Linked DNA regions of Anolis sagrei. The main gene of each other region encodes a partner of the protein of the gene in region 4 in a complex. Links are inferred from orthologs where the notes say so. Each region holds a gene or a part of one and is shown on either strand. Other genes may lie near its edges.

Region 1 (7,485 bases), on a different chromosome or scaffold from region 4:
ATAGTTGATTTTGCCCAGGGGCACTCTTGAGGCACTCTTGGGGGTAAATAGACCTTGACATATGCGAGTTGTAGTTACTGGGATGTATAGTTCACCTACAATCAAAGAACATTCTGAACTCCACCATTGATGGAATTGAACCAAATATGGCACACAGAACTCCCATGACGAACAGAAAATATATATCAGTGATTGGTTGGGGGCGGGGGTGTGTGTGTGTGTGCAAAATACTGTTTGCTTACCGTTGAAAATTACCTAGGGCCACCTCTGCCTTCAAGGTCAATCCAGTCACTTCAAGGATGCCATCCATCCATCTTGCCCTTGGTCGGCCCCTCTTCCTTTTTCCTTCCATTTTCCCCAGCATCATTGTCTTCTCTAAGCTTTTCTTTCTTCTCATGATGTGGGCAAAGTACTTCATCTTGGCCTCTACTATTCTTCCCTCCAATGAGCAGTCAGGCTTTATTGGATCTTCTCGCTGTCCAAGGCACTCTCAGAATTTCCTCCAACACCACAGTTCAAAAGCATCATAGAATCAAAGAGCTGGACGAGACCTCATGGGCCATCCAGTCCAACCCCCTGCCAAGAAGCAGGAATATTGCATTCAAAGCACCTCTGACAGATGGCCATCCAGCCTCTGTTTAAAAACTTCCAAAGAAGGAGCCTCCACCACACTCTGGGGCAGAGAGTTCCACTGCTGAACGGATCTCACAGTCAGGAAGTTCTTCCTCATGTTCAGATGGAATCTCCTTTCTTGTAGTGTGAAACCATTGTTTCGTGTCCTAGTCTCCAGGGAAGCAGAAAACAAGCTTGCTCCCTCCTCCCTGTGGCCTCCTCTCACATATTTATACATGGCTATCATATCTCCTCTCAGCCTTCTCTTCCACGTCTCTCTGGCTGCAAAAGGTCCACTGTATTTCCCTGTACCCCAGGCTCCAAAGTAGGACAAGGCCACATCTCTCTGGCCACTAAAGGCACGCTGCCTCACTATTTCAATGTCTCCCAGGCTCCAAGTGGGACTAGGCCGCGTCTCTCCATCGACACCATGTTTGTTGTTGTTCTTCTGACAGGACTGAGTTACCCTGTAGAAGAGCAGGATGTTTCTAGACAGGCTTAGAACAGGACACTTCACTACTGGCTGTTAAGAACTGTGGGAGTTGGGAGTCCAAAACACCTACGAGTCTGGCCTCAAAACCGGCATGGCTGACTTCGGCTGTTGGTTGTCAGCAATGGTCTGTTTCAGAATTACGGCATCCATGAGGCCCTTTGTCCTTTCAACAGGCCCTTCTCCAAATAGGCCTCTTTCTTGGGACGCAAAACGCCCGCCGTCCCTCCATTTTGTTGCTATTGAGGGTACAAGTGAGCCTAGGCTGCGTCTCTCTGGCTGCATCTATCTTCCTTCGCTCAGTCTTCCCTATGGTCCAGCTCTCACATCCATAGGTAACTATGTGGAATACCATTGCTTTTACTATGCGGATCTTTGTTGCCAGTGTGATGTCTCTACACTATTTTATCAAGTCCTTTACTAGCGACTCTGAGATTGTTTCCCCTCAGACTGGTATAAAATCCACATTGAGCTGGGTTATATGGCAGTGTGGACTCAGATAATCCAGTTCAAAGCAAATATTGTCGATTACCTCGTGTTTAAAAGATGTTAACTTGCGCAATACTGCAGCAGCTTCCTTTTTATATATAGCTTCTTACCACAGGTAGGCCGGGTTTGACCCATCACTGACTCTTGAAATCTTCACTAGAGATCCTGAGTTAACACATCTTTTCCATCTTCATAGCTATGATACTTCATCTTGCTGATGGGAAGCTTCCCACCGGAGTGGAAATCATCTATCAGACAGCTATTTAACCTCAGCAGACTGAAAGCCAAAACCAAGGTTACAACAACATTTATTATAGAACTCCAGTATGTTGATGACAACGTTGTCTGTGCGCATTCAGAAGACCTACAAGTCACTCTAAATACCTTTGCAGAAGCATACGAGCAGCTCGGCCTGTCATTAAACATCGAGAAAACCAGTGCTCTTCCAGCAGTCACCAGCCAGTCCCTCTCCAATGCCAGAAATACAGCTTAATGGTGTAACACTAGAAAATGTCGACCATTTCCGCTACCTTGGCAGCCACTTCTCCACAAAAGTCAACATTGACACTGAAGTACAACACTGCCTGAGCTCTGCGAGTGCAGCATTTTTCTGAATGAAGCAGAGAGTGTTTGAGGACCGGGACATCCGTAGGGATACCAAGGTGCTTGTTTATAAAGCTATTGTCCTCCTAACTCTGCTATATGCCTGTGAGATATGGACTATCTACAGACGTCACATGCAACTCCTGGAACGATTCCATCAGTGCTGCCTCCGGAAAATCCTGCAAATCCCTTGGGAAGACAAGCGGACAAATGTTGGAAGAAGCATGCTGGAAGAAGCAAAGACCACCAGCATTGAAGCGATGGTCCTCTGCCATCAACTCCGCTGGACCGGCCACGTTGTCCGAATACCCAACCACCATCTCACAAAGCAGTTTCTCTACTCCGAACTCAAGAACGGAAAACGGAATGTAGGACAGGAAAAAAGATTTAAAGATGGGCTCAAAGCCAACCTTAAAAACTCTGGCATAGACACTGAGAACTGGTAAGCCCTGGCCCTTGAGCGCTCTAATTGGAGGTCAGCTGTGACCAGCAGTGCTGTAGAATTTGAAGAAGTATGAATGGAGGGCGAAAGAGAGAAACGTGTCAAGAGGAAGGTGCATCAAGCCAACCCCGACCAAGACCACCTTCCACCTGGAAACCAATGCCCTCACTGTGGGAGAAGATGCAGATCAAGAATAGGGCTCCACAGTCACCTACGGACCCACCAGAACACTGATCCTGGAAGACTATCCTACTCAGCCAATGAGGGATTGCCTAAGAGAGGAAGAATTTGGGAGGTGGGCTAGTTGTTAATCCAACTCACAAGCAAAAAAGTAGATAATAGTATTCTATGGAAGTACCAGTTGGGCAACTTGCTTGTGAAGTCGGTAGGAAGTTTAGGAGGGTCGTCTCCAGGAGGAGGGACCCTGAGACCCCACCAAAGAGGGATCGCTACTTTGGCGAGCTAGAGAAGCCTGATTTCAGCCAATTTATTAAATTAAAAAATTCAAAATAAATCTCACCAAAGTTGAAGAAGTGGCACTGAGGTGTTTTTATTAGTGATTCAGCTGAAAAGGATGCAATGTAGCAATCATTCGCCTACAAATCATGCCAGTACAAAGATCAGAGACATTTTTATAATAAGGTTTACAGGCTTAGAAGTTTCAAAATTCCCGCCCTCCGCCCTGATGATTGGCTGACGTGATTCCAGCTGGGAGGGGGCCAAAGCCAACTACAGAGCTCCTCCGCTGTGCAGGAACCAATTGGAGAGCTCCTACCGCCTCAGCGCTCCGGCGAATCAGGAGAGGGGAGGTGGGACGAAGAAGAAACAATGGGTTCATGAATGGATTAATGGATTTCATGCCTGGGGGAATCCTGAGTCTGAGACTTCAGCCTGCAAAGGATGCCAGTCTATTGTCTTTTGATGGGTCTTGTTGATTACTTTATCCGGGTCTTCCTGCCCGCCAGAGAAATTGATTAAAATAATAATTTTGATAAAACATGTGTCCATAGTTCATACTGGGGAAGTTCAAACGTGAAAATAAGTTCATTAGAGCCAAAAATGATGTGTAGGAAGTCCAATAGTCAGAAAAGGAGCTGGGTGATTTCCATTGAGCCAAGGAAGGGATTCTTGCAGCGCCAAGATCAAGCTGGTCCTTAGTCCTTGGAAAACTATAACTCCCTCCAAGGACTGGGGCCTCAAGGCCAGGCTCTTCCCTGAAAGCCTCATGGGGTCCTTGTTGTTGTTAGTGTCTTTGACAAATTGACCAAGACTTAACCCCTTTGTGCAATCTGGTACCCTTGCCCTTTGCAGAACTATAAGTTACCATCCCTTATTGGGGGGACGGACGGACATGCTCGACTTCACTTGTGTTTAAAAGATGTTAACTTGAGCAATCCTGCAACAGCTTCCTTTTTATGTATAGCTTCTTACCACAGAGAGGCCGGGTTTGACTCTTGAAATCTTCACGACAGATCCCGAGTTAACACATCATGAAAGGGAAGCCCAATGATTTTATTTTAAGACTCTTATGGAAAGTGAAATTCAGAAAAAGGAAGGCGTGACTGCAGTCGCATGATGAGAAGTCAACGTCAGACAGTGCAAGCAACCTGAGCAGAGGATCACAGACAATGCTCTGTCCTGAAAGCAGCTTCTTCTTTGGGCAATCTTCCAGCCCGTGTGGCATTACTTCCTCTGTCAAGCCTGGCCCCTCTTTCAGTTATGAGTTCAGTGATGAGACTTCCTGGTCTGTTTGCAATTGCAACACTGGTGAGCTTCGAGAGGGGGAGCAGAATGCATACCTGATGTGCAAGGGGAGCTTGCCTGGTGGATTGTGAGAGCCCCTTGCTTGCAACTGAATAGATTCCAGTTTGGCCATGGCCCTTGTAGAGACAATTCGACTGTGGAGTGAAGGGGTGTCTGCAGCTGACCGCAAAGACTGGCCGGCTGCTCTGTCTGCCTTCACTTCGGTTCCAAATCCTTCCTCCAAAATCTGCTTTAACATTGGCTGCACCCACCTGGTCATGGGGAATTTGGATGAGGCACAGCAGGTAGGTGGCCAAGAAAACTGAAATATTCTCCCCAAAAGCAGCTTAACAAGCCCAACAAGTAAACCTGGATGGCTGCAGGAGTCCTTCCATGGAACTAGTAGGGAGAGATGGGAAAAGAAGCCATTTAAAAACAGGTTAGCTGTGTCCCTGTTATTAAGTCAGGATTTCTGAGCTGCTGTTGGTTTGTGGAAGGCTTTCATGGCTGGAATCACTGGGTTGTTGTACGTTTTTCGGTCCATATGGCCATGTTCTAGAAGTCCGTCGTTTCGCCTAACAACCTCGGGGGATGCTTGCCATAGATGCAGGCGAAACGTCACGAGAGAATGCTTCTAGAACATGGCCATATAGCCCGAAAAAACCTGCAACAACCTGCTCTTGGTTTGATTGGTGAATGACCAAAAAAATATGGACTGCTAGCTAAACTTACTTGTTTTCCTTCCCTGTTCCTACTCTATTTCCTTTTTCATTTTCAAATGGCAGGGGGTTACAACAGATTTAGGGGTGTGCGAAACATTCTGGTTTCAATGTATTGTCAAAGGCTTTCATGGCCGGAATCACTGGGTTGTTGTAGGTTTTTCCAGGTTATATGGCCATGTTCTAGAGGCATTTTCTCCTGACGTTTCGCCTGCATCTATGGCAAGCATCCTCAGAAATAGTGAGGTCTGTTGGAAGTAGGAAAATGGGTTTATATATCTGTAGAATGGCCAGGGTGGGACAAAACTCTTGTCTGCTGGAGCTAGGTGTGAATGTTTCAACTGACCACCTTGATTAGCATTTGATGGCTTGGCAGTGCCTGGGGGAATCTTTTGTTGAGAGGTGATTAGATGTGCCTGATTGTTTACTCTCTGTTGTTTTGCTGTTGTAATTTTAGAGTTTTTTAATATTGGTAGCCAGATTTTGTTCATTTTCATGGTTTCCTCCTTTCTGTTGAAATTGTCCACATGCTTGTGGATTTCAATGGCTCTTCTGTGTAGTGTGACGTGGTCTAGCATTTCTGTGTTCTCAAATAATATGCTGTGTCCATGTTGGTTCATCAAGTGATCTGCTATGACTAACCTTTCTGGTTGAAGTAGTCTGCAGTGCCTTTCATGTTCCTTGATGCGTGTCTGGGCAATGCTGCGTTTGGTGCTCCCTATGTAGACGTGTCCACAGCTGCATGGTACACGGTAGACTCCTGCAGAAGTGAGAGGATCCCTCTTGTCCTTTGCTGAACGTAGCATTTGCTGGATTTTCTTGGTGGGTCTGTAGATAGTTTGTATGTTGTGTTTCCTCATCAGCTTCCCAATGCGGTCAGTGGTTCCCTTGATATATTGCAAGAACACTTTTCCTCAGGGTGGATCTTTGTCTTGACTCTCATGGCTTGTTCTCGTGGCTTGTTTATATAGACTAGCCGTCCCCTGCCAGGCCTTGCTGTGGCCCAGTCTGGTGATCTGGAAAATAAAGTAATGAGAAAGCATTGGTTTCTAATATATGTAATTTTTTTATGCTTGTGGGTAAACAGTATTTCTTATTGTTTCTTTGTCAGTGTTAATGTGAAGATTGTCTGGTTTGCCTACTCTGGAACATGCAACATATTGTCCTTCTTTAGGAGTCCCTTTCAAATCTATGATACTATATCTCTGTGTGTGTGAATCACATCTATCTATATTTATGGCTGGATGGCTCTTTGTCATGAGGGCTTTGATTATGTTTTCTTGCCCTGGTGAAGGGAGTTGGACTGGATAGCATTGAGTATTTTCTCTTGGTCATGGAGGTTCTGTGTGGGAAGTTTGCCCCAATTCTGTCATTGGTGGGGTTCAGAACAATCTTTGATTGTAGGTGAACTATATCCCAGTAACTACAACTCCCAAATGTCAAGGTCTATTTCCCCCAAACCCCATCTGTGTTCATATTTGGGCATATGGAATATTTGTGCCAAGTTTGGCCCAGGTCCAGATCCATCATTGGTTGAATCCATGGTACTCTCTGAATATAGGTGAACTACAACTCCCAAACTCAAGCTCAATGCTCACCAAACCCTTCTGGTGTTTTCTATTCTTCATGGGAGTCCTTTATGCCCCGTTTGGTTCAATTCTATCCTGCTATTTGATTGTAGGTGAACTATAAATCCCAGCAACTACAACTCCCAAAAGACAAAATCAAAAAATTTTGAGTGAAGGATACATTGGGTTGTTAGGTGTATGCTGTCCAAATTTGTTGTCAATTCGTCCAGTGGGTTTTGAGTTATGTTAATACCACAAACGACTGTTACATTTTTATTTATATAGATTGTGCCCCATCAGTTTGTGCTGGCAATGCCTGGCAACCCAGAAGTCCCAAACTGCTGTATCTATAATACTTTTCAAGAGGTATTATTTTTGCTTCCTTCAGGCCTTTACCAGGAGTACCAACAATGACAGACACTTAGCAGTGGCATATTTCCAGCGAGGAATTGTGGCGTACCAGATGGAAAAGTGAGTTGTAACATATTGGGCACCTTAAAAAAGGAGCGGAATGTTTTCTTATTCTGTTGTTCATCCTTGCAACCACTTTCTCCTTAATCTGTTAGAACAGTGCTATGTTTAGTTTCCTATTTTGCAAACCTTATGTACCAGCATGTACCAACAGAAGATTCTCGGATCCATATAAATTGTACAGCTCAGTGCTGTTTTTTAATGCAGAGAGAGACATAGCTGCCCACACAAAACCGTGAAAGTTATTTCTGTGTGTATGTGTCTCTTTCTTAAAAGAATTGGGAATTTAATGTGGCAGACCAGTTCCCTCCTTCATATCAAATTCCCAAATGTTACTTCTATTTTTCC
Region 2 (7,640 bases), on a different chromosome or scaffold from region 4:
CAGGGAAAACTGATTCCTAATCCATCCAAAACACAGACATATGCTTTTCACCTTAAGAACAGACAAGCATCCCGAACTCTGAGGATGACCTGGGAAGGAATCCCACTGGAGCATTGCAGCACACCCAGACACCTGGGAGTGACCCTGAACTGTGCCCTGACTTACAAGAAACACTGCTTTACCAGCAAGCAAAAAATGGGTGCTAGAAATAATATCGTATGGAAGCTGACTGGCACAACCTGGGGATCATAACTAGACACAGTGAAGACACCTGCCCTTGCACTTGGCTACTCCGCTGCTGAATACGAATGCCCAGTGTGGAAAACATTACACCATGTCAAAACAGTTGATGTGGCTCTTAATGAAACATGGTGCATTATTGCAGGACGTCTATGCACTACACCACTGGAGAAATTATACTGTTTAGCCGGTATTGCACCACCTGATATCTGCCGGGAAGTAGCAGCCAGAAATGAAAGGACCAAGGCAGTGACATCTCCAGTCTATCCTCTGTTCAGATATCAAGCCAGCATGCCAATGCCTTAATTCAAGAAACAGCTTCCTAAGGTCTACAAAGATACTTGCAGGAACACCTCAGCAAGCGAGAGTCCAAAAGTGGCAGGCTAAAACCCAGCACCTTAATTAGTGGCTGAGACCAAATGAGAGACACCCTCCTGAACACACAGAAGACTGGGAGACTTGGAAGGCACTGAGCAGGCTGTGCTCTGGCACCACGAGATGCAGAGCTAACTTTAAGAAATGGGGCCACAAAGTTAAGTCCATGACATGCGAGTGTGGAGAACAGCAAATCACAGACCACCTATTACAGTGTGGCCTGAGCCCTGCCACATGTACAACGGAGGACCTTCTCACAGCAAAACCAAAGGCATTCCAAGAGGCCAGCTTCTGATCAAACAACATTTCACATAATGTATTGTTGAAGGCTTTCGTGGCTGGAATCACTGGGTTGTTGTGAGTTTTCTGGGTTGTATGGCCATGTTCCAGCAGCATTCTCTCCTGACGTTTCGCCTGCATCTATGGCAGGCATCCTCAGAGGTTGTCAGACCTCACAACCTCTGAGGACGCCTACCACAGATGCAGGCGAAACATCAGGAGAGAATGCTGCTGGAACATGACCATACAGCCTGGAAAATCACAACAACCCATTTAGCATCATGCCACGTTTTTTTTTTTTTAAAAAAAAACAACTTTAAATGCATTTTAACTGTACCCTCAATGTGCTTCTGACACGATAAATTAATTGCTCTTTCGGCAGGAAAAGGCTCAAAAGCCTTGGAATACTACAACTTCACAGAATGGAGCACTTCAAAGAGTCATGCCCAAAGTTGCTGTTTGGAGACAAAATGCACAGAAAGGAAGATATGAAACAATGAGCATTTTGTGCACATCCGCACTGTAGAATTAATGCAGTTTGGCATCACTTGAACTCCTATAGCAGCGTTTCTCAACCTGGGGGTCAGGACCCCTAGGGGGGTCGTGAGGGGGGTGTCAGAGGGGTCACCAAAGACCACCAGAAAACACAGTATTTTCTGTTGGTCGTGGGGGTTCTCTGTGGGAAGTTTGGCCAAATTCTATCATTAGTGGGATTCAGAATGCTCTTTGATTGTAGGTGAACTATAAATCCCAGCAACTACATCTCCCAAATGTCAAGGTCTATTTTCCCCAAACTCCATTTGGAAATATTGAGTATTTATGCCAAGTTTGGTCCAGATCCATCATTGTTTGAGCCCACCAGTGCTCTCTGGATGTAGGTGAACTACAACTCCAAAACTCAAGGCCACTGCACACCAAACCCTTCCAGTATTTTTTTGTTGTATATGGGTATTCTGTTTGCCAAATTGGTTCAATTCCAATGTTGGTGGGGTTCAGAATGTTCTTTGATTGTAGGTGAACTATGAATCCCAGCAACTACAACTCCCAAATGTCAAGGTCTATTTTCCCCAAACTCTACCAGTATTCACATTTGGAAATATTGAGTATTCATGCCATGTATGTTCCAGATCCGTCGTTTGAGTCCACAGTGCTCTCTGGATGTAGGAGAACTACAACTCCAAAACACAAGGCCACTGCACACAAAACCCTTCCAGTATTTTTTGTTGTATATGGGTATTCTGTTTGCCAAGTTGGTTCAATTCCATCATTGGTAGAGTTCAGAATGTTCTTTGATTGTAGGTGAACTATAAATCCCAGCAACTACAACTCCCAAATGACAAAATCAATCCCTCCCCCAACCCTACCAGTATTCAGATTTTGACGTATCAAGTATTTGTGCCAAATTTGGTCCAGTGAATGAAAATACATCCTGCAAATCAGATATTTACACGACAATTCATAACAGTAACAACATAACAGTTATGAAGTAGCAACAAAAATAATGTTATGGTTGGGGGTCACCACAACATGAGGAACTGTATTAAGGGGTCGTGGCATGAGGAAGGTTGAGAAACACTATCCTATGGGTTTGTGCTATGGGGATCATGTGGGGGAATGTGGCTTGATGGGTCGCCATCAAACCAAAAAGTTTTGCCAAGCTGCAAGTGCTCTTGATGTCCATAGCTTTGCGCCCTGGCTCTCCAAGTGGTGCCAAAGCGCATTCCTTTGGGCTGTCTTTGGGTGGGTCTTTGGACCCCCCTCCCCTCTATTGATGCCTAGGTCTCCTCCCCCAACAACAAGGAAACAAGCCCCCGACTTTGCAAAGACTCACTCAGCCCCGAAGCCAGCGCCTGCTCGTTGGCCCACATGGCCCACTCGATGCGCCCCATGGCTGCTCCTCCTTTGGCACTCCGGAGGGAGAAAGGGAGGGGAAGGGGCGAAGGGGCCAGAGGGCAGGGATCCGGCCGGGAAGGGCTCCCAGCAGCAGGGCAGGGCTAGTCCGGGCCGCCGGCTACGTCCCTTCCTGCCCCTCCTTCCCTTCCTTTCCCCCCGGTTTGGAGAAGAGAGACGCAGAAAGAAGAGGCACCCGACCTCTCCAAAGGCGCAATGACTGGGGCAAGTTCCTCTTTCCTCTGCCTCCTCCTACAAGGCGCAGAGAACTTTTGCAAAGTTTGCCAAAGAGAGGGGAATCCCAGAGATGGGAGGGACCTCCAAAGGCCATCCAGTCCAGCCCCCTCCTGCCCTGAAAGATACAAGGCAAGCCTTAGCAACAGATGACTATCCAGTCTCAACTTCATGACTTCCAAAGATGGAGACTCCATCACCAGCCACTCCGTTGTGAATGTTTCCATCCTGAACATTAATCGACTCTTATATCCAGAAGGTTTCCTCCAAAGACCATCTACCAACTCCCTTTTGCTATACAGGAAGACACCACCCAAGCCCTCCTGACAGATGACACCATCCAAGCCATCCTGGCTGATGGTCATCCAGCTTCATGAAAAGAAGAGGCACCCGACCTCTCCAAAAGTGCAATGACTGGGACAAGTTCCTCCTATAAGGCGCAAAGAACTTTTGCAAAGGAACCCCAGAGATGGGAGGGACCTCCAAAGGCCATCCAGTCCGACCCCCTCCTGCCCTGCAAGGCACCAGCCAAGCCTTAGCAACACATGGCCATCCAGTCCCAACTTCATGACCTCCAAAGATGGAAACTCCATCACCAGCCACTCCATTGGGAATGTTTCCATCCTGAACATTTATCGACTCTTATATCCAGAAGGTTTCCTCCAAAGACCCTCTGTACCAACCCCCTTCTGCTATATAGGAAGACACCACTCAAGCCCTCCTGACAGATGACACCATCCAAGCCACCCTGGCAGATGGCCATCCAGCCCCAACTTCATGAAAAGAAGAGGCACCCGACCTCTCCAAAGGCGCAACGACTGGGAGAAGTTCCCCTTTCCTCTGCCTCCTCCTACAAGGCGCAGAGAACTTTTGCAAAGTTTGTGAAAGGAGAGGGGAACCCCAGAGATGGGAGGGAACTCCAAAGGCCATCCAGTCTGACCCCCTCCTGCCCTGCAAGGCACCAGCCAAGCCTTAGCAACAGATGGCCACCCAGCCCCAACTTCGCGACCTCCAAAGATGGAGACTCCATCACCAGCCACTCCATTGGGAATGTTTCCATCCTGAACGTTAATCGATTCTTATATCCAGAAGGTTTCCTCCAAAGACCATCTGTACCAACTCCCTTTTGCTATACAGGAAGACACCATCCAAGCCATCGTGGCAGGTGGCCATCTAGACCCAATTTCACGACCTCCAAAGATGGAGACTCCATCACCAGCCACTCCATTGGAAATGTTTCCATCCTGAACATTTATTGACTCTTCTATCCAGAAGGTTTCCTCCAAAGGCCATCTATACCAACCCCCTTCTGCTATATAGGAAGACGCCATCCAAGCCATCCTGGCATATGGCCATCCAGCCCCAACTTCATGAAAAGAAGAGGCACCCGACCTCTCCAAAGGTGCAATGACTGGGGCAAGTTCTCCTTTCCTCTGCCTCCTCCTATAAGGCGCAAAGAACTTTTGCAAAGGAACCCCAGAGATGGGAGGGACCTCCAAAGGCCGTCCAGTCTGACCCCCTCCTGCCCTGCAAGGCACCAGTCAAGCCTTAGTGACAGATGGCCATCCAGCCCCAACTTCATGACCTCCAAAAATGGAGACTCCATCACCAGCCACTCCATTGGGAATATTTCCATCCTGAACATTAATCGACTCTTCTACCCAGAAGGTTTCCTCCAAAGACCATCTATACCAACCCCCTTCTGCTATATAGGAAGACATCATTCAAGCCATTCCTGTATAGCAGAAGGGGGTTGGTATAGATGGTTTTTGGAGGAAACCTTCTGGATATAAATGTTCAGGATGGAAACATTCCCAATGCAGTGGCTGGTGATGGAGTCTCCATCTTTGGAGATCCTGAAGTTGGAGCTGGATGGCCATCTGTTGCTAAGGCTTGGCTGGTGCCTTGCAGGGCAGGAGGGGGTTGGACTGGATGGCCATCACCAGCCATTCCATTGTGAATGTTTCCATCCTTAAAATGTATACTATAATGTATTTGAAAGGGTCCCCCAAAGGCCCTCTATTCCAACCCCCTTCTACCATAAAGACACAATCCAAGCCCTCCTGACAGATGGCCATCCAGCCCCAACTTAATGACCTCCAGGTATGGAGGCTCCCTAATTAGCCATTCCATTCTGAATGCTTCTATCCTGACAATTTATACAATCATATATCTGGAAGGCATATTCCAAAGGCCAGCCCCCTTCTGCCTTGCAAGACATAGTCCAAGCCCTCCCAACAGATGGCCATTCAGCCTCTGCTTGGAAACCTCCTGAGAAAGCGACTTCACTGGGTTCCCAGGCATATATTCCGTTAGCACTTGAAGGCACCCCAAAGGCCATCTATCCCAACCTGAGAATCGCATTGGCCTTTTACGCTGCTGCATCACTGTCTTGACTCTCCTCAATCCCTTTCATTTGCATTGTTTCCAAGCCTGGTGTCCCCCATCCTATACCTCTGCAATTCAGTGATGGTATGAGTGTTAATTTTGCATCTTTATAAGACAGTATTTCTCAACCTGGGGGTCAGGATCCCTGGGGGAGTCATGAGAGGGGTTTCAGAGGGGCCTCCAAAGACCATCAGAAAACAAAAAGCCTTAGGAACCCTTTTGGCAGAAAAGGCTGGCGATCTCTCCACCTGTTCTTCTCTTCCTTTTTGGTGTTGGTGAACTACAAATCCCAGAATTCAGAAACAGCCCCCACCCTATAAATATTCAATGTTGGCTGTTTATGTAATTTGTCAAGTTTGGTGAAGATCCATTGTGGACTGGGATCAGAGTGCTCTTTGATTGTAGGTGAACTGTAAATCCCAGCAACTCCCACATATCAAGGTCTATTTTCCCCAAACTCCACCAGTGTTAACATTTGGACATATTGTGTATTTGTGCCAAGTTTGGTTCAGATCCATCATTGTCTGAGTCCACAGTGCTCTCTGGATGTAGTCGAACTACAACTCAAAAACACAAGGTCAATGCCCACCAAACCCTTCCAGTATTTTCTGTTGGTCAAAGGAGTTCTGTGTGCCAAGTTTGGTTCATTTCTATCGGTGGAGTTTAGAATGCTCTCTGATTGTAGGTGAACTATAAATCCCAGCAAATACAACTCCCAAATGACAATATCTATTTCCTCCCAACCCCACCAGTATTCAAATTTGGACGTATCAGATGTTTGTGCCAAATTTGGTCCAGTGAATGAAAATACATCCTGTTTACATTACGATTCATAACAGGAGCAAAATTACAGTTATGAAGTAGCAACGGAAATAATGTTATGGTTGGGGGTCAAGACAACAAGAGGAACTGTATTAAGGGGTCGCGGCATTAGGAAGGTTGAGAAACACTGGTATAAGAGAAGCAAATCCCCAAAAGAAAACACCAGAGTTCGGATGAAAATTATCGACTTTCACTTCTTTTTAAAAAGCAACCCAGTAAAAATGAAACCAAAGTTGGGGGAAAAGGACAACTGCATTCTCCAGGAGACTTTGTGCAAAGGGAAGAAAGGCAATAGGAAGGCTATCTGCTTGATTTTCTGGAAAAGGAAGTCCCAGAGTTTTCTCTAGTAAGGCAGAAGGTTTCAAAGGTTAGAATGGATTAAAAATATTGAGAGATCAACAGAGAAAACTACAGCCATCCACGTGCTGCTGGATGACAACTTCCATCCTCCTTTGCAGAAGGGATGCTGGGAAATGGTGGAAGACGATGCCAAACCCTGCAATGACCATATATATGGATATACGAGGGGCGTTCATTAAAGATTTCCCCTGACCCACTTCTATTTATCACAGAACACTGAAACCGCCCATGTGCAATGATAGTCTCTATAGGTGACGTGCCAATTTACAACTCAGAACTGAGAACAGTCTTGATGTGACAGGTGCTGAAGTGGTGTGAGGTTTGAGAATGGACCCAGTGGCAGATAGAGTAGTCCTCAAGTTCCTTTTCTTGCAAGGCCACACACCAAAGGGGACGTTTGATGAGATGAAAGAGGTTTATGGGGATGATTCGCCATCATATGACGGATTCAAGAACTGGCATTGTCCATTCCATTGTGGACTGAAGAAAGGGCTAATTATATGAGTGGTGTTCAAGAAAGATTTCCCCTGACCCACTTCTATTGATCACAGGACACTGAAACTACCCATGTGCAATGATATAAGTCTCTAAAGGTGACATGCCAATTTACAACTCAGAACTGAGAACGGTCTTGATGTGACAGGTGCTGAAGTGCAGAGCAGTCCTCAAGTTCCTTTTCTTGCAAGGCCACACACCAAAGGAGACGTTCAATGAGATGGAAGAGGTTTATGGTGATGCTTCCTCATCACAAGATGGAGTCAAGAACTGGCATCCTTGGTTCCAATGTGGTCAGACTTCGGTGCAAACAGCTCCAATTCTAGGGCGACCGCACTCTGCTCTTGATGAACACACCATCCAGCAAGTGGAGGTCACCATTTTGGAAAATCGCCACGTAACCATTCGCCACCTAGCCCAAAATGTCAAGATGAGTGTGGGGTCCGTGGAAAAAAATCACCCAAGACCATCTTCCCATGCATAAAGGATCCACTCGCTGCGTCCCCAGCTGCTCACCTTTCCAGATGCAGGAATGAGCCGAATGCTCGTTGTGTCTA
Region 3 (7,610 bases), on a different chromosome or scaffold from region 4:
TTAACTGTGCAAAGGAGCCCCAGAGTTGCAAGCAAGTGATATCCACAGGCAAGCTGCAAGCTCTTACTGAGCTGACTTCAGCTTATGGAAAAGGACATGGTTTTGAGTCACAGCCAAATAATACTGTCAGGAAGGAGATGAATAGTCTTGCAAATGTCCTCCACCCACGACAAGCTATCCCAGTAAAAGGATGTTATGTTCCATAGGGCAATGACTCCCCAGATCCACCACTCAGCACAGCCAACAGCTGCTTTGGTCAACGGCTGTGGCGTTGAGGTTGAGGTAGGGCTAAGCCTTTGGCCTGTTGTAAACTGGTCATGTTCTCAAAGTGTTGGCCTCCACTTGAAATACCCCTTTCCACTACTTTTTGCCCAGAGGGAGTTTGCGAGATTTTGTGATTTATAGGTAAAGAAAAGAGAACATTCTCACATGCTGCTTATTTCTTTCAACAAAACATAGCAGCATTGTACTAAGGCTCCCAATAATAATAATAATAATAATCATCATCATCATCATCATCATCATCATCATCATCATCATCATCTTTATTTATACCCCGCCACCATCTCCCTAAAGGGTACTTGGGACGGCTTACATGAGGCCATGCCCATCAATACAGAAACACAATATAACACAAAAACATAACTGAAAATCAGAAAATAAAATAACATAAAGTACAAAAATACAAAATGTAAATATACAGCACAACAATATAAAATCAAAATATTAAACCACTAAAAATGAACACAATGGACAGGGCCAGTTCAAAGATTAAAAAATTAAAACACTGGGAGATAGGGCAGTGTAAAATATCAGGAAGGGGATCCGGGGGATAAGGTAAGAGTTCATTGCACAAACCAGAGAATAAAGTGTGTCTGAGGACATTTTATGCAGAGTTTGGTCAGGGACAGGGGCGGCTCAACCCATTACACAAAGTAAGCATTTGCAGTATAGTTGATTTTGCCCAGGGGCGCTCTTTAGGCGCTCTTGGGGGAAAATAGACCTTGACATATGTGAGTTGTAGTTACTGGGATGTATAGTTCACCTACAATCAAAGAGCATTCTGAACACCAATGATGGAATTGAACCAAATATGGCACACAGAACTCCCACGACGAACAGAAAATATATATCACTGATTGGTTGAGGGGGAGGGCAAAATACTGTTTGCTTACCATTGAAAATTGCCTAGGGCCGCCTCTGGTCAGGGATTATCATACATTCAGTCATTGAAGGCACATTGGAACAGCCAAGTTTTCAGGCTCCTCCTAAAGATTTCCAGGGTGGGGGCTGGCCTAATATCTCTGGAGAGTGTATTCCAGAGCCAATGGGCCACCACAGAGAAGGCCCTGTCTCTCGTTCCCACAAGTCATGCTTGTGATGAAGATGGGAGCGAGAGAAGGGCCTCTACGGAAAATCGAAGAGGTCGCATGGGTTCGTAGACAGAAATATGGTTGTGCAGGTAGGCGGGCCCCAAACTGTTTAGGGCTTTGTAGATCAAAACCTGCACCTTGAATTGGGCCCGAAAAATAAATGGCAGCCAGTGGAGCTCCTTAAACAGGGGGGTTGACCGCTCCCTGTAGCTCACACCAGTTAGTAGTCTGGCTGCCGCTCGTTGGACCAGTTGGAATTTCTGGGCTGTCTTCAAGGGCAGCCCCACGTAGAGCGCATTGCAATAGTCCAATCTAGAGGTAACTAAGGCATGGACCACCGTGGCCAAATCTGACTTCATGAGATACGGTCATAGCTGGCGCACGAGCTTCAATTGTGTGAAGGCCCTCCCAGCCACCGTCGACACCTGAACTTCAAGCATTAGCGCAGAATCTAGGAGGACACCCAAGCTGTGGACCTGTGACTTCAGGGGGAGTGCAACCCCATCAAGAACAGGTTGCCACCCTATAAGAAGTTATGGGTGAGTGGAGGGGATCACTCTGGGAAAGGGGGAGCCCAAGGTCTCACTATACATAAAAAGCAGTCTGATGACAAATCCCAGACCTACTGCTTCCATGCTACAAGCCGGTTTTGTTTCTGGACTGGAAACTGTTGGTCAGGAGCAGGGTATTTCTCTTAGGGCTACACCTATCTCTTGAGTGTCAGCTCCTGGCCTCTAGCCTATGCACACTGACATCAGGAATTAGATCTCCACAGGTCACAGCAGCCTTGTGCATTTATGGCTTATGGCAAATGCTTCCAGAAAGACAAATGCTTTCATTTTCCCATGCAAAATGAATAGTCACATATGCTCTTTACCATCATCAAGCAGAGAAAGACCAGCCCCGACGCAAGGTCACAAACACCTTGTTTTTGTTTCATTTGAGAGCTTGCTGCACTGTGCTAGCTTTTAATCCAACAGATTCAACATTTTTGTTTCGTATTTTTGGAGGTCACTTGCATTTAACAAAGCAGTATATGAAACATTCATCAGAACCAAACTACATAAAGTGGTCATGGACCACTCAGCAAGGGATAACTGTATTCTGGCCTTGATTCTGTCATCGATGATGCCACACAGAAATAACACATATTCCAGAGTAACATTTAACTGAAACTATCTTTTTGTGGCACTTTTTGTTAAATGTTATTTTTCTGCCCTTGATGTCTTGGATCAATCTTCCCCCTCATGCTTGCATGGCCACTCTAAAAGAGATATGGACATAGAGCAAGAAAGAGCATGCAACCCAGCCAATAGGGTATTAGAGGAAACAAGAAGTTCATCCAAAGCTCAGCCCTTCCCCCACTCTCCCCTGTGCCTCAAAGGCATCATACATACCCATCTCCGACCACCACACACTTGATGGCTTGCATATCTGTGGCCTGGCGATGCTGTGGAGTTCAGCAGGTCTCTCGAATAAAGGTAACAGCTCACCAACGTTGCCGGCAGGAAGTGTTCTACAGTTATATCAAAACCAAAGCTGAATTGAACAGCAGGTTGTGGGTTAGGGAGGAAAGGGAAGAGAGAATGTTTCTCAACCCGCCCACTAGTCCCCAAGGCAGCCCTGACTGTGTGCTGGGGGAAGGGTGTGCAGCTTCAAATATATTTCTCTCTTTGCATGCTGCAGATAGCTAAGCACTTCCTTTTTCATCACACTGTGTGGCTTAGTCTTTGGACACTAAAAAGAGGTTGCAATGCAGTTTCTACACAGGAAGGAGAACCATCCAGAGGAGCAGAAGGAAAGTGGGAGAAAGAACAAACCCCAGAAAGAGATATTTTCCCTCTTTCTCTTTCAGTTGAGAAGAAGATGGCTGGGTGAGAGTGGCTTGCCATTATAGCTGTCTCTGGAGCCTTGGTGAAGAAACACCTTTTCTTCTCTTGTCAAAAGAAATACATTTCTTTTTTAAGATACAGAAAATTACAGTTTTTAAAAATCGTCCACAACATTGTCTCATATTTCCATGAAACCCAGGTGTGCCCATCTTCCTGTGAATAGGTGGGATACACTGGTGGGTGTACATGGAATGCTTTGAGTGGTTCATCCTTCCATTGCTGCCAGCAGATTTGCCCTTGCTGCCATTTTTGCTACTGCTTTTTCTGCCACTGTCCAACACACAACCATTCTTCTTGGAAATAGGAAACTTTGAAAGCATTACACATAGTTTTCTTTTTTTCAGAAGTATGCTTCATACTGTAGTTGCCATGACATGAACTACAACGGGGCCAGTTATCATAAGGGGGAATTCCTCTCCTATTGCAATCATTGTATGCATAATTTCTAAATAGGTTTACTTAGAAACAAGTAAAGCAAACTTAGGAAACTAGCCTTGTGCTCTTCATATTCCATGTTTCCCAGTATAAATGTTGGAATTTGGGCAGCACTAGCAACAGATGTTTTGGTAGTGGACATTCAAGGGAGGGAGAAGAGAAAATGTTTGCATTGTAACTGCAGGCTACATGCTGTCCATCCCTGCTTTAATTTAGGAATACTCTTACTTGCAGTAATACCAGCCCAAGATATGTTGGTCCCTGCAAAGGAAGACCTGGTGATGTCCTCCTAGTCCATATACAAAAGGTGAAAGGACTGGCAGTTAAATCTTATTACTACTTTGGTGAAGGGAAAATCTGCTTCATTCCAGTTGAGTACAGCAACTTAGCTTAGAAGGAATCCCACTGGAGCATTGCAGTACATCCACATACCTGGGAGTTACCCTGGACCACGCTCTGACTTACAAGAAGCACTGCTTGAATATCAAGCAAAAAATGGGTGCTAGAAACAATATCATACGAAAGCTGGCTGGCACAACCTGGGGATCACAACCAGATACAGTGAAGACACCTGCCCTTGTGCTATGCTACTCTGCTGCTGAGTACAAATGCCCACTGTGGAACACATCTCACCATGTCAAAACAGTGAATGTGGCTCTTAATGAAACATGTTGCATTATCCCAGGATGTCTATGCCCTACACCACTGGAGAAATTAAGCTGTTTAGCCGGAATTGCACCACCTGACATCTGCTGGGAAGTAGCAGCCAGTATTGAAAGAACCAAGGCAGTGACATCTCCACCCTTTCCCCTGTTTGGATATCAGCCAGCATGCCAATGCCTCAAATCAAGAAATAGTTTTCTAAGATCTAAAGAGATACTTGCAAGAATACCTCAGCAAGTGAGAGTCCAAAAGTGGCAGGCTAAAACCCAGAGCCTCAAGCCATGGCTGATACCGAATGCGAGACTCCCCCCTGGGCACCCAGGAGACTGGGCAAGCTGGAAGGTGCTAAACAGACTGCGCTGTGGCACCACCAGATGCAGACCCAACCTTAAGAAATTAGGCCACAAAGTGGAGTCCACAAGATGCGGGTGAGTAGAAGAGCAAACCACAGACCACCTATTACAATGCTTTCTAAGCCTTGCCATATGCACAATGGAGGACCTGCTTATAGCAACACCAGAGGCACTCCAAGTGGCCAGTTACTGGTCAAAGGACATTTAGTATAATGCCAAGTTTTTTAAACTTTGTGTTTTAAAAATATATTATACCTGAACCCTCGGTTTGCTTCTGATACGATAAATAAAATAGCTTAGGGTGTACAGGCCAGATTGTGTGGCATGTACAATTCTGTTATTTAACACCTTTTCGCGAGCAACCACTGCCTGTGGTGGTTTCCTCAGCCCAGTATTAAGGCTAGCCTTGACCAGACCCGCTATTCAATAGCCTCTAATGACCTTAACTCTGCACTGTAACATTTCAGCAATCATAGCAAATGAGATACAATTATCATAAGGAAATCAGAAAACCAGCATGCAAGGAAGCAAGAGAGACATGTTACCAATGAGTCATGGAATCATCCACATATCCTACTGTCATACCCAGTTTATATGCATCCATCAGTTAACAAATTCCATAAAAAATTAACCCTGTAATCACAATTACAACTATCACAGCAATTTTCTTTGTCATCTTGTCACATCTTCACAGAGGCACCCTTTATAATTTCCTTGTCTGACACACTAGATAACTAATAATTAGTAAATAATGATACAAAAGAAAGCAACAGGATCACTGTATTTGGATCAACGCATTCACTTTGCTGCCATCATGCATGATTTGTGCCTTGGATGGTCACCTGCTCTTCATTAGAGTCATCTGTTTGAAGGTGCCCTCCACTATTTGAAGATCATCTCAGTCCAAATCCATCTTCCACACATAACTCTACTGGAAGAAGACTTGAAGTTCCTGGATAGCAGATTGAAATTTGTGGTTTTGTGAGATATTTAACCTTCTCTTCCAAATCCCATGAATCCATAGGATGGGGCCGTGTCATTTAATAATTTTGCAGTGTAGCTGGTCTATGTTTCCTTTTCACTGTAGTTGAGATATAGTTCTATTTAAATTGTACATCCCCAAATAAATTAACATACTGTAGATACTCCTGTATAAATTGACCTCCTGTATAAATAGTTGTGGCCATACAACCATTCAAAAATTCCAGAAGTAGTTCCAAGGCACAGAGCTTAGAGTGGGTCAGTTCTTCTTTTAGGTTCTCCTGGAATGAACTAAGCTATTGTTTTTTGCCTCTCTGCTTAGAGAAGGGGGTGGTTGATTTTCTGATATGAGTTAAGCTACAGCATTCACATTGTTGTTGTTCATTCGTTCAGTCGTCTCCGACTCTTCGTGACCTCATGGACCAGCCCACGCCAGAGCTCCCTGTCGGCCGTTACCACCCCCAGCTCCCTCAAGGTCAGTCCAGTCACTTCAAGGATGCCATCCATCCATCTTGCCCTTGGTCGGCCCCTCTTCCTTTTGCCGCATTCACATTAACCTATGGATAAATCAACCCAGTTTTTCAGTTGATTTTTTATTAAAATTTCTAGACTTATTCATGAGTATATACTGTAGGATATGTATGTAGATTTTATGCAAACCTGTGATCCATTTTTTGAGTTAGGCACTTTCCCCTTTTATGTTAGCAGCTGTGGCCCTCTAGATGCTTTTGGACTACCATTCCCTTCAACCCTAGCTAACAACAATAAGGGGTTATGGTAACTGCAGTCCAAAAACATCTGGAGGACAACAGTTGTCAACCTTGATCAAGATGTTCACACACCTATCAGACCTAGAAGACAAAACAGCAAGTCTATGGTGCAAAGAAGGGGCATCTTGGAGCTTTATTTATTTAAAAAGTGATGTGCTATATTTTACCATCAGTAACATTACATCAGGAATTGCTTGGTTATTTCAATAATGGCTTTCATTAATCACTACCATGCCCTACTTAACATTTAATTATCACATAATTAATAATTGCAGTTTCATTTTATATTAGCCAATAATTGCCAAACAGACTCCAGGTCCTCTGTCCATTATGAATCAGTTGTAGAGTCATGGGAAGGCAATATTGCCACTGTGGAAATAGATAATGGCTTTAAATACCACGAGGTTGACAAAGCTTTTCACAGCATTCCTGCTTTCTTGGGAAAAGGGGCAGGAATGTAAAAGATAAAAATGGTAGGGATGTAAAAGATACAAAATAGCAGCAATTCACAAATGGCAAAGTACATGAAATTAAGAGAGCCAAAATCCACGGCAGTCAGTCAAACATAAATCCATAAACATAAAAACAGGAACTTTTTCCAAGCAAACCCTCCCAGGAATGAGGGCAAAGATAGAAAATTTGATTCATGGCCTCCACATATCATGTTGCTGCTGGTGAACAGGTGGTGGACCTGAAGTGAGAAACGAAATTCACTGGGGCCTGAGGCCACTATTGCTGGCCCTATTCCTACACTCTGCTTTTTGGTAATGGTGAGATCAGGTCATTGCCAGAACCAAGGGTAAAAGTATAAGTCTTTACATAGTCACTGGGAATGTGGTACCTGATGTTATGTGTTTCTGCCCCTTTGATCAACAACTAACAATGGCTGCAGAATATGTGACCTTCCAGATGTTAACATGCTGCCTCTTCCATAGTCCCCCACCAATGGCCACTTAGATGGGTTTGATAGGGATTAGTATCCAATATAAGATTGACAGGGAAAAATAAGGGTTGTCAAAGCAGAACTGTGTTAACATAAAGCGTGTAAATACACTGCACATGAATCACAAAACAAAACTGAATGTTACTTAGTTATCTTGTAGTCCTTGAGACAGTAAATTATCTTCAAATACTGTCTAAATT
Region 4 (6,831 bases):
GATGCCATCCATCCATCTTGCCCTTGGTCGGCCCCTCTTCCTTTTGCCTTCCACTTTCCCCAGCATAATTGTCTTCTCTAGGCTTTCCTGTCTCCTCATGATGTGGCCAAAGTACTTCAGCTTTGTCTCTAGTATCTTTCCCTCCAGTGAGCAGTCGGGCTTTATTTCCTGGAGGATGGACTGGTTGGATCTTCTCGCAGTCCAAGGCACTCTCAGAACTTTCCTCCAACACCACAGCTCAAAAGCATTGATCTTCCTTCGCTCAGCCTTCCCTAAGGTCCAGCTCTCACATCCGTAGGTGACTACAGGGAATACCATGGCTTTGACTAGGCGGATCTTTGTTGCAAGTCTGATGTCTCTACTCTTCACTATTTTATCGAGACTGGACATTGCTCTCCTCCCAAGAAGTAAGCGTCTTCTGATTTCCTGGCTACAGTCTGCATCTGCAGTAATCTTTGCACCTAGAAATACAAAGTCTGTCACGGCCTCCACGGTTTCTCCCTCTATTTTCCAGTTGTCAATCATTCTTGTTGCCATAATCTTGGTTTTTTTGACGTTTAGCTGCAACCCGGCTTTTGCGCTTTCTTCTTTCACCTTGATTAGAAGGCTCCTCAGCTCCTCCTCGCTTTCGGCCATCAGAGTGGTGTCATCTGCATATCTGAGGTTGTTAATGTTTCTTCCAGCAATTTTCACCCCAGCTTTGCATTCATCCAGCCCCGCACATCGCATGATGTGTTCTGCATACAAGTTAAAAAGGTTGGGTGAGAGTATGCAGCCTTGCCGTACGCCTTTCCCAATCTTGAACCAGTCTGTTGTTCCGTGGTCAGTTCTGACTGTTGCTACTTGGTCCTTGTACAGATTCCTCAGGAGAGAGACAAGGTGGCTTGGTATGCCCATCCCACCAAGAACTTGCCACAATTTATTATGATCCACACAGTCAAAGGCTTTAGAATAGTCAATGAAGCAGAAGTAGATGTTTTTCTGAAACTCCCTGCCTTTCTCCATTATCCAGCGGATATTGGCAATCTGGTCTCTCGTTCCTCTGCCTTTTTTAAACCCAGCTTGAACATCTGGCAACTCTCGCTCCATGTATTGCTGGAGTCTTCCTTGCAGGATCTTGAGCATTACCTTACTGGCATGAGAAATAAGGGCAACTGTACGGAAGTTTGAGCAGTCTTTCGCATTTCCCTTTTTTGGTATGGGGATATAAGTTGATTTTTTCCAGTCTGATGGCCATTCTTGTGTTTTCCATATTTGCTGGCAAATGGCATGCATCACCTTGACAGCATCATCTTTTAAGATTTTAAACCAACTCTATAAAATCCATCAATTCTCCTCCATTATTATATAAATCCTTCACTCTTAAAATCTTGCTCTATTCAACTTCTTCAGCCAGCACTCCTCTTCATCCTCAAACAAGCTATATAATGGTGACCATTTAGATAATGTGAGGATCCATTGCTTTTTGCCGTTCCCCCCATATTATAAAAGTTCACATAGCATTTATCTAACCACTGCTCATTCACCTTTTCTTTGATTTTAAGGCTGCTGCCCTGCCAGACTCCGCTGCAAGGAGTGCCAACTGGTGGTTTCCAGGTAAGTCAGGCAGCATTCTGTGGTTGAATCCAAATTTGAAAGCAACCAACCAGTGTACTGTACTCTAATCCCCAAATTCTCATTGGTAACTTGGACCCATAATGTGTAGGATTTAAAAGTAATATCCAACACTTTGTACTTTTCCAGAAACTAATTGGCAATTAGTAGAGTCATTATGTCATCACCATTTTCCAAATAACAACTCACTTTTGAAGTGGTAAAGTGAACATTGGAATCTAATACGAAGTGGGAGAAAAAAAGGGGAAATGTGAATGTGAGGAAGTCCACCCAACAGATATTTTAGGATTGCTTAAAAGTGAACAGAAAGAAACATAACAGGAAAGCTGAATTTAATAATAGTCTGACACAAAGTTGCAACATTTCAGAAAATCCGTTGTTTGCTAAAGGGGGGTCCTCCTCTTTTGACTAATGAAGTTAATCTTATTTTTCTACTGTATATGAAAAATAGGGATCTAGCACTTACCCCAAGAAGTTCTCTTGTGTAGAAGAACTGTTCCCCAAGATCATATACTTGGTAGAACCACCAGAAGAGGAAGACATTTAAACCCAGCCATAAAAACTGAAGGAAGAAACATATGATCTGAAATTATTTCCAGGTTTTTACAACATAGGGGAGGTTCTGGTTTGTGGTTTAAAACAGCATCATGGTCCACTAAACAGAAGGTGGTGCAAAATAGCAGACAAGAAAAATTATTCACTATACTTCATGAACCCCAGACTGTACAAATCAAGAGTTGACCAGCTATAAGAGAGCCCAATGCAGAACTTTCATTTTGGCTGGCAGAATTGTCCACTGGTGGTCTGAGGCCCACAGGTTAAGAACCACTGCTCTAATCTAATGCGCAACAAGGAACCCAGAGAATTCAGCAGTTTTTCTATGCTATGATGTTTGTATCCATCTCATTTCCTACCTATTCCAGAATGCAACCATTTTGTTAGTTATGCATTTGGGACCAAACTGACTAAACTCAAGGAATACACATTTCCTTACGGGAGTAACTCATTTTTAATGAGTAGTACTCTCAGCTTCAGAGAAAGACAAAGGTAAACTAGCTGTGAACAAATCTTGCCAAGAAAAAACCCATGATAGGTTCACCCTAAAATTCCCATATATCGGAAATGACTTGAAGGCACAAAACCATAACGACACCTTCTGATGCGTGACTTTCAAGAACATTTCTGTTGTTAATACAATGTTTTAAAAGCTAGGAAGATATCACAAAATTAGAAGTTAAGGGATAGAGTTTTTCATAAAACTAATCAAATACAAAATTTGAATTTCACTTAAAAATGCATGGTTGTTGTACTTACAATGACAAATATGGAGAGCCCCTCATTTTCCACCCAGTTGCCCATGATGGTGACTGCACAAATGAAACTGAACTAGCTTCGCTTATTGTGAGGGTTGTGACTTCAAAAAAAAATCCAGTGAAAGGAAGTGAAAGCTACTATAACATTGCAAGAGCTTATTTCCCCTTTTGATTGTGCATGCTAATTATCCATACACTTAACATGCTTTTAACTTCCACTCCACTTTCTCATTCTGTGTCTGCAAGCCACTACACTAATCAAACTTTAAACACAGGGATTATGGAAATGAACAGGTTTGCTTCTTCTATAGTCAGTGGTCTGGATCTTGTTGTTTGTGTTGAAAGCTAAGAGACATCTACACTTATATAAGGAAAAGGGTGCAGCTGGTTCACCAGCCAAAGCTGGGCAAAGGTGCTCCTAGCCACTGCCATGACCTGGACCTGCAAGGACAGCATTGGGTCCAAGAGTATCTACACGCTAAGATCTTTGAGAGGGGGTACCCTCATCCAGGTTGTGATCCCAATCCCAGGCTAATCTTCTTACTGGGGGCATAGAGAGAGAAAGAGAGACAGAGAGAGACAGAGAGATTGATTTATTTTTCTAGTATCCCAAAGTGTTTTAGCCTATAATAGTTAATAGCATTCTTCAAAAAGAAATTAATTCTTTAAAAAATGTTATCTGGGCTTTTGCCTGGTAACTAAAAGCGGAATTGTGGGTTAAGACATGAGGCAGGAGTTGCATAAATGTACCAGAAACCTAATGCAACCCAATCATGAGGTTTTCTCTGCAATATTTGTTCAGAGGGAAACTGCTTTTGTCATCTTCTGAGGCTGAGAAAATGTGACTAGCCAGCCCAAGGTTATCCAGTGACCAAAGAGGGGATCCAATCCAGGTTTCCAGAATCCTAATCTATCACTCAAACCACCACACCATGGTGGCTCTCATTTGTAACACAAAGAAATAACCTACAGTACAGATTATTTGTAAGGGTATTGTACGTGAACCATTTGCCACATAGTATCACTTACGAGTTGTGTTAGTAATTATTTGTAATACTAAAAGTCATATGTACTTATAGTATTGATAAAGAAAACAACAAATCTGTAGATTACAGGGTTGAATTGTACTTGCAAGCATATTATTAACACATGGTATTTTGAGACATCATTGCTGCATTAGTTGCAATCTTGACTCATCATGCATTTATCCACTTATTTACCCTATGCTGCCTCCTACTGGTCTGAACAGATGGCACACGCAGCATGATTTGGGTTACTCTCAACATGGGCAGAAGCTTCCTGTAGTATAAAAATGCTCTGCCTTTCCCCAGAATATAGCTTATAATTTTTTCCATTGTTGTCTTTCTTTGTACACTCATGTCTTTGTCTTTGTTTTCTTTCTGACCTGCACATCCCTTACAGAAATAGATTTAAACATCATAAGGATAGGAAATGAAACCCAGGTGGCCAAAACTAACTTACCTAAATAAATAACCCACTTTAAGACAAGGTTCTCTTGATTGAACCTGATGGTCACATGCTGTACTGCCTCCCCCTCCAGTTTCAATATGTCTGGAAACTGTTTTAAAAGAACACAAACCCTGCTATATATAGACTTCGAGTGTTACATCCAACAGTCAACCAGGCAAGTATATTTAAAGTGTTTCCTTATTTTTTTAAAAAAACAATTTACTACAACAGTTGTGAGTTCCATAGGAAATACATTTTGTTAATGGTCTCTGAAATAGTCATGCTAGTTTGGAGTAAAATGGGAATTTTAAAAATGTGATTCAGAAGTTTGTTTTGCTGAAATTAATGAGACGTACTGAAGAAATGTTCTCATAGTGGGAATGCCAAGGTCAAGTATAAAGTGTTAAAAGGAATTAAACTTGCATCCTGTTTATTTCCATATGTATCTGCATCTGCAAGCTTCTCTCCCCATCTCATATACTTTTGGCAACCACATGTTATGGTAATGCAATTGGCTCTCCTTATCCAGAGGTTCCACACCCACAGTTTCAACCAACCATGATTCAGAAATATTCAGGAAAAAATCCCCAAAAGCAAAACCTGATTTTGCAATGCACTTAAGGATTTGTCTGATGTGTAGGCATACCCTGATGCCATCGCCTCCCACAGTTGCCCACCTTGGTATAAAGCAGGGCTTTAAATATATCAGATGAAGCTGGTGAGTTGCATTATTAGAATCTAGTGATGCAAAATATTAGGTTTTTTAAAAGCCCAGCACGCATATGATTTTAGAGTGAACGATGGGCCATAAACTTTACCAGAGAGCTTAATTGGGACAGATGTATAAAGATATAATGCCCATGTACCAGGGACACTTTTTCACACATATGAACAAGACTGCTAATGCTTTTCAGAGTCATATTCATATTGCCAACATGGATAACTAGGGATTTGCTAGATTTTATAGTATTTATACAGTTCAGGCCCCTTCTATACTGCCATATAATCGAGTTTATTAAAGCAAAACACCACATTATTTGCTTTGATCTGGATTATATGAGTCTACACTGCAATATAATCCAATTCAAAGCAGATAATCTGGATTTCATATGGAAGTGTAGAATGGACCTCAGTGACATAATGTTTTACAACTCTCCAAATCATTTGAATTAGTTCATCTCAATTTCATTTGTTTTCCTTCCCATTGCTTTTAGAATTCCTTGCATGTCCTGTCATCTTCACTAACTGCAATAGAACTAAAAGGGTTGCATTCATCATCCTTAACCTGAGAAGAAAAGATGGATGCAATAGGGAGCTTCATGAATATATACAAAATTACATGAGAAAAAAGCAGCCAAGCAACGGCAGCAGTGGGAAAGAGTGCCCCTTTGTGGACAGCAATGGTTTTGTTTTATTAGTTTTTTTTTTTAACAGCCTCACATTTATTTCAAAGGCCAACATAGATTTGTACAACATTAAATACAGCAGCTGGCAGAACTATCTGTCCGAGACCAACGGTGACTGATGCAGTGAGGGGCACAAAGGGTCCGTGTGTCTTGATCGCCAGATTCCCCCCTTTCCTGCGCACACCATCCAGGCCCTCAGGGCAGAACAGAAATACTCAGCTCATTGGACACACGCTTTATTCTTACACATCTTTCTTATCTACAATGTACTCTACAATCTCGTGGGGACATATCAGCTTCTCTGCTTCCACGTCGGGAATTTCAAACCCGAATTCGTCTTCCATCGCATGATAATCTCCACTTGGTCCAGGCTGTCCATCCCAGATCTTTCACGAAGTGGGAATTTGCTGTGCGTTTTTCAGGGTCGATCTTGTTGTAGAGTTTTGAGACGTAAAGGACCCGCTTCTTGATGCCATCCAGCGTGGGGGGGAGGGGGGCAGGTCAGCATAGTGGTGGTTCAACTGCAGGAATGTTCCTGAAACCTGAGGTGGCCGGAGGAGGGTTAGGAGAGGAGCTGGCGAGAGGAGGCGGGCTCTGGCCGAGGAGGAGGCGAGGTGGGAAGTGGAGGAAGCCAAGGCGGCAAGGCTTCAGCGGAGGCAGGCCAAGGAGACCAGGAGGGCACGCGCCGCCATCTTGGACCCCCGTCTTATTATTTTTTATTAGCTTTGTATATTATTGTTTTATTAGTTTTGTATAGAATGACTTGTAAAACCTGGCTTCAAAGGCCTAAATCCCATCTTTAGCCCCAAGTAGACTTGAACTTTTAAAATCAAGGGGAACCCATACCTCTTAGCATTTCACATATGAAAACCAGAACATATGTGTCAAGATAGCAGAAATTTACAAAAAAGAACACTCAAGCTAAGAGAGGCTGTAGAAGTTTGCTTTTCTCTTGGGAAAGGTAAGATTCCACTCCCTTTTTCCTCCCCTCCTCATTCAGTTAATTGAGTGCAAACTGGTATTTTTGT

What was found.
Region 1: CYBB (region 4) and NCF2 share a complex: the UniProt entries of both Homo sapiens proteins name them as parts of the phagocyte NADPH oxidase complex. The link is inferred for Anolis sagrei from reciprocal best matches to the Homo sapiens genes CYBB and NCF2.
Region 2: the proteins of CYBB (region 4) and CYBA are in contact, whole or in part, in a cryo-EM structure (PDB 8X2L), measured with the Homo sapiens proteins. The link is inferred for Anolis sagrei from reciprocal best matches to the Homo sapiens genes CYBB and CYBA. Residues at the interface, in NP_000388.2 of Homo sapiens: Thr116, Ile117, Leu120, Phe121, Val123, Glu124, Asn128, Asn133, Lys161, Asn162, Pro163, Gly166, Leu167, Ala170, Val180, Thr183, Leu184, Ile187, Leu188, Thr191, Ser192, Thr194, Lys195, Thr196, Ile197, Arg199, Ser200, Tyr201, Glu203, Val204; in NP_000092.2 of Homo sapiens: Gln3, Ile4, Glu5, Trp6, Met8, Trp9, Glu12, Gln13, Ala16, Ile20, Thr23, Val27, Gly31, Phe33, Thr34, Gln35, Arg56, Arg59, Met65, Gly102, Phe103, Leu104, Leu105, Ala106, Ile108, Leu109, Ala112, Cys113, Ile116.
Region 3: CYBB (region 4) and RAC2 share a complex: the UniProt entries of both Homo sapiens proteins name them as parts of the phagocyte NADPH oxidase complex. The link is inferred for Anolis sagrei from reciprocal best matches to the Homo sapiens genes CYBB and RAC2.

What each region holds. Positions count from the first base shown.
Region 1 is NC_090024.1:122,473,112-122,480,596, forward strand, and holds the start of NCF2 (neutrophil cytosol factor 2), read left to right. Parts: upstream 1-4,483; 5' UTR 4,484-4,510; coding exon 4,511-4,684; intron 4,685-7,054; coding exon 7,055-7,137; intron 7,138-7,485. UniProt on the Homo sapiens protein: Subunit of the phagocyte NADPH oxidase complex that mediates the transfer of electrons from cytosolic NADPH to O2 to produce the superoxide anion (O2(-)).
Region 2 is NC_090028.1:26,681,295-26,688,934, forward strand, and holds the start of CYBA (cytochrome b-245 light chain), read right to left. Parts: upstream 3,008-7,640; 5' UTR 2,784-3,007; coding exon 2,726-2,783; intron 1-2,725. UniProt on the Homo sapiens protein: Subunit of NADPH oxidase complexes that is required for the NADPH oxidase activity that generates, in various cell types, superoxide from molecular oxygen utilizing NADPH as an electron donor.
Region 3 is NC_090025.1:165,898,020-165,905,629, reverse strand, and holds the start of RAC2 (ras-related C3 botulinum toxin substrate 2), read right to left. Parts: upstream 3,018-7,610; 5' UTR 2,806-3,017; coding exon 2,771-2,805; intron 1-2,770. UniProt on the Homo sapiens protein: Plasma membrane-associated small GTPase which cycles between an active GTP-bound and inactive GDP-bound state.
Region 4 is NC_090023.1:79,967,247-79,974,077, forward strand, and holds the start of CYBB (cytochrome b-245 heavy chain), read right to left. Parts: upstream 3,020-6,831; 5' UTR 2,974-3,019; coding exon 2,929-2,973; intron 2,177-2,928; coding exon 2,081-2,176; intron 1-2,080. UniProt on the Homo sapiens protein: Catalytic subunit of the phagocyte NADPH oxidase complex that mediates the transfer of electrons from cytosolic NADPH to O2 to produce the superoxide anion (O2(-)).